Linked DNA regions of Callithrix jacchus. The protein of the gene in region 2 interacts with the protein of the main gene of each other region in a biochemical or structural test. Links are inferred from orthologs where the notes say so. Each region holds a gene or a part of one and is shown on either strand. Other genes may lie near its edges. The genes, in order: MUTYH and APEX1.

Region 1 (3,809 bases), on a different chromosome or scaffold from region 2:
GAATCACTTGAACCTGGGAGGCAAGGTTGCAGTGAGCCAATATTGTGCCATCGCACTCCAACCTGGGCAACACAGTGAGACTCTGTCTCAAAAAAAGAAAATAAAAAGCGTGTTTTTTTTTTTTTTGGCCGGGTGCAGTGCTTCACGCCTGTAATCCCAGCACTTTGGGAGGATGAGGTGGGTGGATCACTTGAGGCCAGGAGTTTGAGACCAGCCTGGCCAACATGGTAAAACCCCCATCTCTACAAAAAGTACAAAACAGCTGGGTATGGTTATGGTGGTGCACACCTGTAATCCCAGCTACTCAGGAGGTTGAAGCACAAAAATCACTTGAACCTAGTAGGCAAAGGTTGCAGTAAGCCAAGATCGCACCACTATACTCCAGCCTGGGCAACAGAGTGAGTCTCCATCTCAAACAATAAAATCAAACATGCTTTTTCCCCTGTTTACACAGTAATATGTTCATATAGAACATGTAGGAAACACAAAGAAATACAACAAAGACAACAAAGGTCATGCCTTTTTCACGGCAGTGGAGACAGCTGCAGTGTGAAATTCCTCCCGGGTCAGCCAGCGAGCGCCTGGTGGTGCAGTGGTCACTGGGGTCTGCCCTTCCAGGGCAAGACCATATACTTGATATGTCAGCTTGATGTGAGAGAAGACATGGACAACCTGGAGGAAGGGCCAAGGGGTTCAAATAGGCCTGTGGATATAGCCTCAAAAGCCAACATCGCTGGCCCTCCCGCTGCTCACTTACCTCCCCGAGGTGCCGGAGGTGTGTGTCTGGGAGGGGCCCAGCCCAACGCTGGAGTTCCTGCAGCAGGGCCTTGCGCTGAAGCGGCTCTGAGGGCTCCCAGGTCACAGACGGGAACTCCCACAGTCCTGCCAGCAGACCTGAGAGGGAGGGCAGGCAGGCAGGGGTCAGCTGCCAATTCCTTCCATTCTCCCTTGTTACTCATGCCACTGCCCTCCATGCACAGTATCCAGCTACCTGAGTTGGGCCTTTGCACCAGCAGAATTCGGGCACCCCCAAGGGCCCTGGGCTGTTCCAGAACACAGGTGGCAGAGCTCTCCTCCCTGGAGGGCTTACGGCTGGCCTTTCTGGGGAAGTTGACCACTCCCAGGGTCTGGTCCCAGGGCTCCGAGGGTGGCAGGCACAGCTGGCACTGTCCAGTGCTGGGAGCTGGGAATGGAGATCCCTGAGCCCTACTCAGGCCAAGACAGCTCAGGTGCCAAGCCTAGAGAGCAGGCTTTGGCCGGGTTCTGCAGACTCTTACTAAGGTTAGAGGAGGAACTGGAATGAGGCTTCTGACAGGGCCAGGAAGGGCTGGGGAGAGGGCTAGGTTTGGTGCTCACCACACTCCTCTATGTCAGGACTGCCCAACAGGCTCTGTGAGGCTAAGGGCTGTTCCTGCTTCACCTGAGAGGCACAGGGTTGGGTGTCATGGGGCAGAGTCACTCCTTAGGACTCCTCACTGCCCCTTCCCAATTAGGCTTACTCTCTGGCGTGCCCGGCACAGGCTCTGCACAGGGCACTGGCTGCACAGTGGGCGCTGCGGAGTACACACTGTGGCCCCTAGCTCCATGGCTGCTTGGTTGAAATCTCCTGGCCGGGCTGGGTCCACTAGCTGCTGGGCTAGACTCCTAAAAGAAGGGAACACTGCTATGAGCCAAAGCTCCTTTGGAAACACCCCTGAAGCACCCTTGTCACCCTGACATCCTACCAGAGCTGCTGGGAGACAAGTTTGCTGCTAGGATCAGCACCAATGGCCCGGACACGGCACAGCACCCGTGCTACGTTGCCATCTACCACACTGGTTGCCTGGCAAAGAGGAGCCAAAGAGTCAGCCTGGGCTGGGAGGAAGGAGGCTGAGCATATACAAAATGGGGGTGGACTGTGGGCTTACCTGGCCAAAGGCAATAGAGGCAATGGCCCCAGCTGTGTAGCGCCCCACACCAGGCAGGAGCTGCTGCAGGGTCTCTGCTGTACGTGGCATGTGGCCCCCTAGCTTCTCTACTACCTGATTGGAGTGCAAGACTCAAGCTTATGAGATACCAAGACTCCTAGGTTCCCACCCTCCTGCCATCCCCTTACCTTCCGAGCTCCCTCTTGCAGCCGCCGGCCTCGAGAATAGTAGCCCAGGCCGGCCCAGAGCTGATTCACCTCCTGTGGGTGGGATCAGAGGTCAGAGAGATCACTGTCAGCCCCTCCATTGTTCCTATTCCCTCTACCCTTGGGTAGCTCTCACCTCCAGGGAAGCACTGGCCAGATCCTGCAGTGTAGGCCACTTCTACAGCCACAGGCAGGCAGAAAGAGACAAGGTCAAGGGTGAGGGTGGTAGAGGAAGCCTTCTCTACACCTACCCCAAAGTAGAGGCTCTCATCTGGGGTCTGACCCATGACCCTCCCCTTCCTCCCCTGGAGTCACCTGCATCCATCTGGTATAGTAGTTGATCACCGTGGCAACCTGGGTCTGCTGCAGCATGACCTCTGAGACCCACACTGGGGGAAAGGAGTTGGCATGAGGACACTGCTGACCTGCCCTATCCTGGCCCACAGCCTCCAGACCCAAGGTCCTTGATGCAAAGTGCCCTGCTCTCAGGAGATGTACTGACCAGCATATGCCCGCCTGTCCAGGTCCACCTCATCTTCTGCCTGTCAATGTAACCCCAGATGAGGAGTTAGGGTGGAGGGGGATGGATACCTGTCTCCACCCACTGTCCCTGTTCCTCGCCTGCCTACCTGTCGCCTCCACGGTAGGTCCCGCTTCTTTTGGTCATACCAGCTTAGCAGACTTCCTCGGAAGGCTGTGACTTCAGCTATGTCTCTGAATAGATGGTATGGGGAGACAGAGGCCTGCAATACCACCTCTTCCAGCTGTCTGGCCAGGCCTGCTGGAGCCCCAGGACACTCAGAAATCATCCCTGCACAAGCTGTGCACCGGGGTCTTGGGACACAGCAGCCTGTGACAGTATGCTCCCACTTAGGGCTTCCTCCAACCAATCCCCTTAGGCTTTGGAGCTGGAGTCAGACCAGAGTTCTGTAATTGCATGTAACTGTGGCTAAGTTTCTGGCCTTAATTTTCTCAGGGTGGTACTATTGGCTTCTTTGTTTCTGAGCTGTAATGAAAACCTAAGAGTTTAGCCAGCTATAATTTATACCTGTGCAGGGCTTTCTTATTTACAAAACATTTTCAGGCTCATAAACTCATTTGGTCCCATGAAAGCCACATGAAGGAAGAAATGCTGAACTACTGCTCCATTTGACTGGTAAGAAAGCAGCCATTCAGAGCAATTATCCTAATGTCACACAGCAATATAGTCAGAATTATACCCTTAGTGAGTCTCTCTTTTTCTTTTTTTTGAGACAGAGTCTGGCTCTGTTGCCCAGGCTGGAGTGCAGTGGCACTATCTCCACTCAGTACAACGTCTGCCTTCCAGGGTCAAGCAATCAGCCTACCTCAGCCTCTAGAGTAGCTGCGACTACATGATGCTCACCACCACATAAGCATAGAGATGGGGTTTCACCATATTATTGAGGCTGGTCTCAAACTCCTGGGCTCAAGGGATCCACCCACTTTGGCCTCCCAAAGTGCTGGGATTACAGGTGTGAGCTATTACACCTGGCCCTTAGTAAGTCTCTTAATGACACTTATCACAATCCCTTCCCAGCCTGTATCTGCCCCCTTTCATGGCTGATGAGCCTTGGACCACAACTGAGTTCCTTACCATTAGGGGTAGAAGCCTTGGCCTGACTGCTGCTCTTAGCATGTTTCTGCCTCTGTTCCTGGCTGGCTGCCTGCTTCCTGT
Region 2 (3,909 bases):
GGAGGATTCCTATTTTTATAGATGAGAAATACAATGCAGATTTCTCTTCAGAGTGTTTAAAGAAGGAATGGTAGTTTAGGGGGATTATTTCCCAGGCTCCAAGTGATTTAGGGGTGGTGTCACAGTGCTAGGTATAGGGTGATAGGACAGTGATCACTGCCGAGAGCCTTGGAACGGATCTTGCTGTCACACAATGCAGGTAACAGAGAGTGGGACAACAAAAAATAATCAAGGCGCCAACCAACATTCTTGGATCGAGCATTCATCATGTAAGTCCAAAAGGTATAGGCATAGGCTGTGTTGGGGTATAGGTGCCTAAAGCTGTCAGCCAGTGGCACAGCCTGCAGTAATTCCCCAAAGCCTTGGCGCTCTTGTGGCGTGAAGCCAGCATTCTTTTTGTTTCCCTTGGGGTTGCGAAGGTCAATTTCTTCATGGGCTACATTGAGGTCTCCACACAGCACAAGGGGCTTTCGGGAAGCCAAGCCCTTCAGGAACTTGCGAAAGGCTTCATCCCAGCGCTGCCGGTACTCCAGTCGTACCAGACCCCGGCCTGCGTTAGGTACATACGCTGTTACCAGCACAAACGAGTCAAATTCAGCCACAATCACCCGGCCTTCCTGATCATGCTCCTCCTCACCTACAGAAATGATGAAACAGAATTAGCATAAAAAAACCACAAGAAAAGAGAAAGCAATCAAGAGGTGGGGCAGAGATGGAGAATTAGCTATTGGTTTTGAAGAGCTCAGGCATTAGGGATTAACAGGGTCTCACCTATGCCATAAGAAACTTTGAGTGGGCACTGGCGGGAAAGTAGGCCCACGCCACTGTACCCTTCCTTATCGGAGGGAGCTGACCAGTATTGATGAGGGAGTCCAGGCAGCTCTTGAAGTTCAGCTGGTAGTTTGTTCTCTGAACATTTGGTCTCTTGAAGGCACAGTATATCTGGGGCTTCTTCCTTTACCCACTATAAGTGAAAAGGTGGAAAACATCAATTCAGCAGAACATTTACTGAATATGTGCTAAGTCATAGATATGCACAGGTTAAACAGTCCCTTGGCCTAATGAGTTCAAGTAGTACAACATTTAAACAATTATAAGCTATATAAATAAAAACTAATAGAGGAAGATAAAGTATTACACGCTCTACTAAGGAGATTGTGTTTTTTCCATAGGCAGTGGATGGCAAGCTAAGATTTTAAGCTATAGTTAATGGAATGGAGGACATGCTGAAGATAAAATGGAGGAAGTATAGAAAAAAGGTTTTTGCAACAGTCTGGGAAGAGGAGAGAACATTAAACGAAAATGGCAATGGAAGTGAAGAAACGGACATTTAGAAACACGACTGGCAAAATGTGGGGAAGCCCCACATAAAGCTCTCCTGGGCAGGAGAAAAACAAAACAGCCTGAAGGCTAAACGGAAAAAAGGGGTGACTAAACCCCTAAGATCATTCAATACTAAAGAATATCTCTACCAAAGTAGAAAATGATATTTAAAAAAAGGAAAAAATACTCTCTTCCCCTCCTTAAATTCCACTTACATCTAATCCTTTCTTCTTAATCCAGGCTCGAAGCCCATCCACATTCCAAGAGCAGATCTTGAGTGTGGCAGGTTTGCCACTGGGTGAGGTTTTCTGATCTGGGGGGTCCTCATACAGGGCTGGGCCCTCTCCTGCTGCCTCTTTGTCGTTTTTCTTTGCGGCCGTCTTACTCTTCTTGGCCTCTGGCTCTATAAAATGAGTAATACATAGTGACAAAAAGTTGGTAGTTTCCAACCTCGATCCGGCGTTAACTATAAACCCAACAAAAGTGTGATGTTACCGCTACTTCTTCACAAACCCCTTAAAAAATGAGCGGCCTGTAGTTACCGTTATCAAGGAAATTCCCGCCGCAGCTTCTAGGAAGAGGGGCTTATTTCATTCTCTTACCCGTCTTGAGCTCTTCCCCGTCTTCTGCCACCGCTCCCTTTTTCCCACGCTTCGGCATTCCCGTAACGAACGCCCTTCGGAGGCACCTGTACCGTGTCGCCCACCGAAGGAGTATTTTTACCGCGTTGCCTACAGACGCAAATAAATGAAATCAGCTAAACCTGGGGAGAAGACTCCTCCCCTAAAGCGTCCCCGCACCAGGTCCCCGCTTTTCAAACCATGTTATGTCTCAATCCTTTCCCAGCCTCCGTGCATCATATGCCCTTCAGCCCCTCACCCACTAACAAGATCATTTCATAGTGCCTTTTACCCTACTGGCGAGATCTGCCCTCCAGCTGAGGATCTTAATTAAGGATCCTGACTCAAGCTTGCCGTTCAGACTGCCAGCGAAGCCCCTCTTACGAGCAGAAGAGTAACCCCGTATCTGCCTGCACTGGTCAGAACGCAGCACAGCTCCTCCTAACCCGAGCACAAAGAACGGTGCACGCTGTGCCCCCACGTGGGTAGCGGATCTGGTCACGTGATCCGAGACTCCAGTCACGTGGCAGAAGAATGTGCGTGATTGGTCTGTCTGGTACCACGTAATGGAGACACTTGGCCTAGCCTCCCTTCTCCCCAGGAGACTTAAGGCCCCAACCCTCCTTCGGGGTGTTTATTGTTGTGCCAGATGCACGGCACATTCTCTGAATGTGGCTTAAGATCCTAATGCTGTGCAAGAGGGGAAAAAAACAATAGCGAAGGCTGGGCTGGACCATAGGAAAGGGATAGAAAAACTGATAGGAATGTAAAGCACAGAGGCGGCTCGGCGTCCCTGGCAGTTAGGAAGACAGGTCCCTGGAGGGGCCTTGACGGGTCTCCGCTCGCGGGAGTTCTGTGGTGTCTCTCGCAGTGCTATCTGCAGTCTCGCCTTCTTCTTCTGTGCCCCGGAAAGCTGCGGCACAGCGCGGACTTGGAAGGACCTCCACTTCTTAGGTTGCTAGGAGTCCTGTCGGCGTTTTCTCCCCGGCTTCGCCATGCCGGCGGTGCTCGGTTTTGAAGGCAGCGCCAATAAGATTGGCGTGGGAGTGGTGCGGGATGGCAAGGTGCTGGCGAACCCGCGGCGGACTTATGTCACGCCTCCGGGCACAGGTGGGTTAGTAAGGGACTTGAGAGTTTTCCGCGCACTTCCCCGCACGGAATTAGTCTTCCATCTTCCTAAATACTAGTTAAGTGGGGCCTTGGGTGCATTGTCCGTTCTTACAGCTTTTGATCCGAGTCTCAGGGAAATTATGTGACTTTATTGACATCACAGGGCTGATAGCTAGAAGAGGTATAGGCACTTGGAGGTGGATCTGAGAAGTTAGTTTACCTTTTATTGAGCGCATTTTATGTGCTAAGCGTTTAGAAATAGATGTTATGATTTTGTTGTGGAATCAGATATATAAATAGATGTTTATTCTTCAGCATGATAAACAGTGTAATAGAGATGGATTCGAAACATTCTGTTTAAAAAATGCTTAGTAGGAATATAGATTCCAGTTGCCCTGAATATACACTCCTTTTTTTTTTTTTTTTTTTTTTTTTCAGACGCAGTTTCGCTCTTGTTACCCAGGCTGGAGTGCAATGGCGCCATCTCGGCTCACTGCAACCTCCGGCTCCCGGGTTCAAGCAATTCTCCTGCCTCAGCCTTCCACGTAGCTGGGATTACAGGCACACGCCACCATGCCCAGCTAAATTTTTTTGTATTTTTGGTAGAGACGGGGTTTCACCATGTTGACCAAGATGGTCTCGATCTCTTCACCTCATGATCCACCCGTCTCGGCCTCCCAAAGTGCTGGGATTACAGGCTTAGGCCACCGCGCCCGGCCCGAATATACACTCCTGTTAAAAAAAAAAAATGCTTTAAAAAAAATAGGATGGGGAGAGAGAAGAGTGGAAAAGACTCCCAGCTTACATGCCAGACAGAACTGGCTGGCTTTGTAATATTCATATTAAATATGTTCTG

The links.
Region 1: the proteins of APEX1 (region 2) and MUTYH form a complex in vitro, tested with the Homo sapiens proteins (3 studies listed by BioGRID and IntAct, with this or other methods). The link is inferred for Callithrix jacchus from reciprocal best matches to the Homo sapiens genes APEX1 and MUTYH.

The regions. Positions count from the first base shown.
Region 1 is NC_133508.1:82,042,445-82,046,253, forward strand, and holds part of MUTYH (adenine DNA glycosylase), read right to left. Parts: coding exon 3,729-3,809; intron 2,895-3,728; coding exon 2,743-2,894; intron 2,656-2,742; coding exon 2,616-2,655; intron 2,503-2,615; coding exon 2,429-2,502; intron 2,292-2,428; coding exon 2,250-2,291; intron 2,168-2,249; coding exon 2,096-2,167; intron 2,022-2,095; coding exon 1,908-2,021; intron 1,823-1,907; coding exon 1,725-1,822; intron 1,645-1,724; coding exon 1,500-1,644; intron 1,421-1,499; coding exon 1,357-1,420; intron 1,184-1,356; coding exon 992-1,183; intron 895-991; coding exon 758-894; intron 673-757; coding exon 520-672; intron 1-519. UniProt on the Homo sapiens protein: Involved in oxidative DNA damage repair. Initiates repair of A*oxoG to C*G by removing the inappropriately paired adenine base from the DNA backbone. Possesses both adenine and 2-OH-A DNA glycosylase activities.
Region 2 is NC_133509.1:55,179,378-55,183,286, reverse strand, and holds the start of APEX1 (DNA repair nuclease/redox regulator APEX1), read right to left. Parts: upstream 2,405-3,909; 5' UTR 2,328-2,404; exon of another isoform or gene 2,236-2,327; intron 2,055-2,235; 5' UTR 1,984-2,054; coding exon 1,926-1,983; intron 1,727-1,925; coding exon 1,539-1,726; intron 965-1,538; coding exon 772-964; intron 638-771; coding exon 120-637; 3' UTR 1-119. Other genes in the region: OSGEP (tRNA N6-adenosine threonylcarbamoyltransferase), read left to right, coding at 2,939-3,053.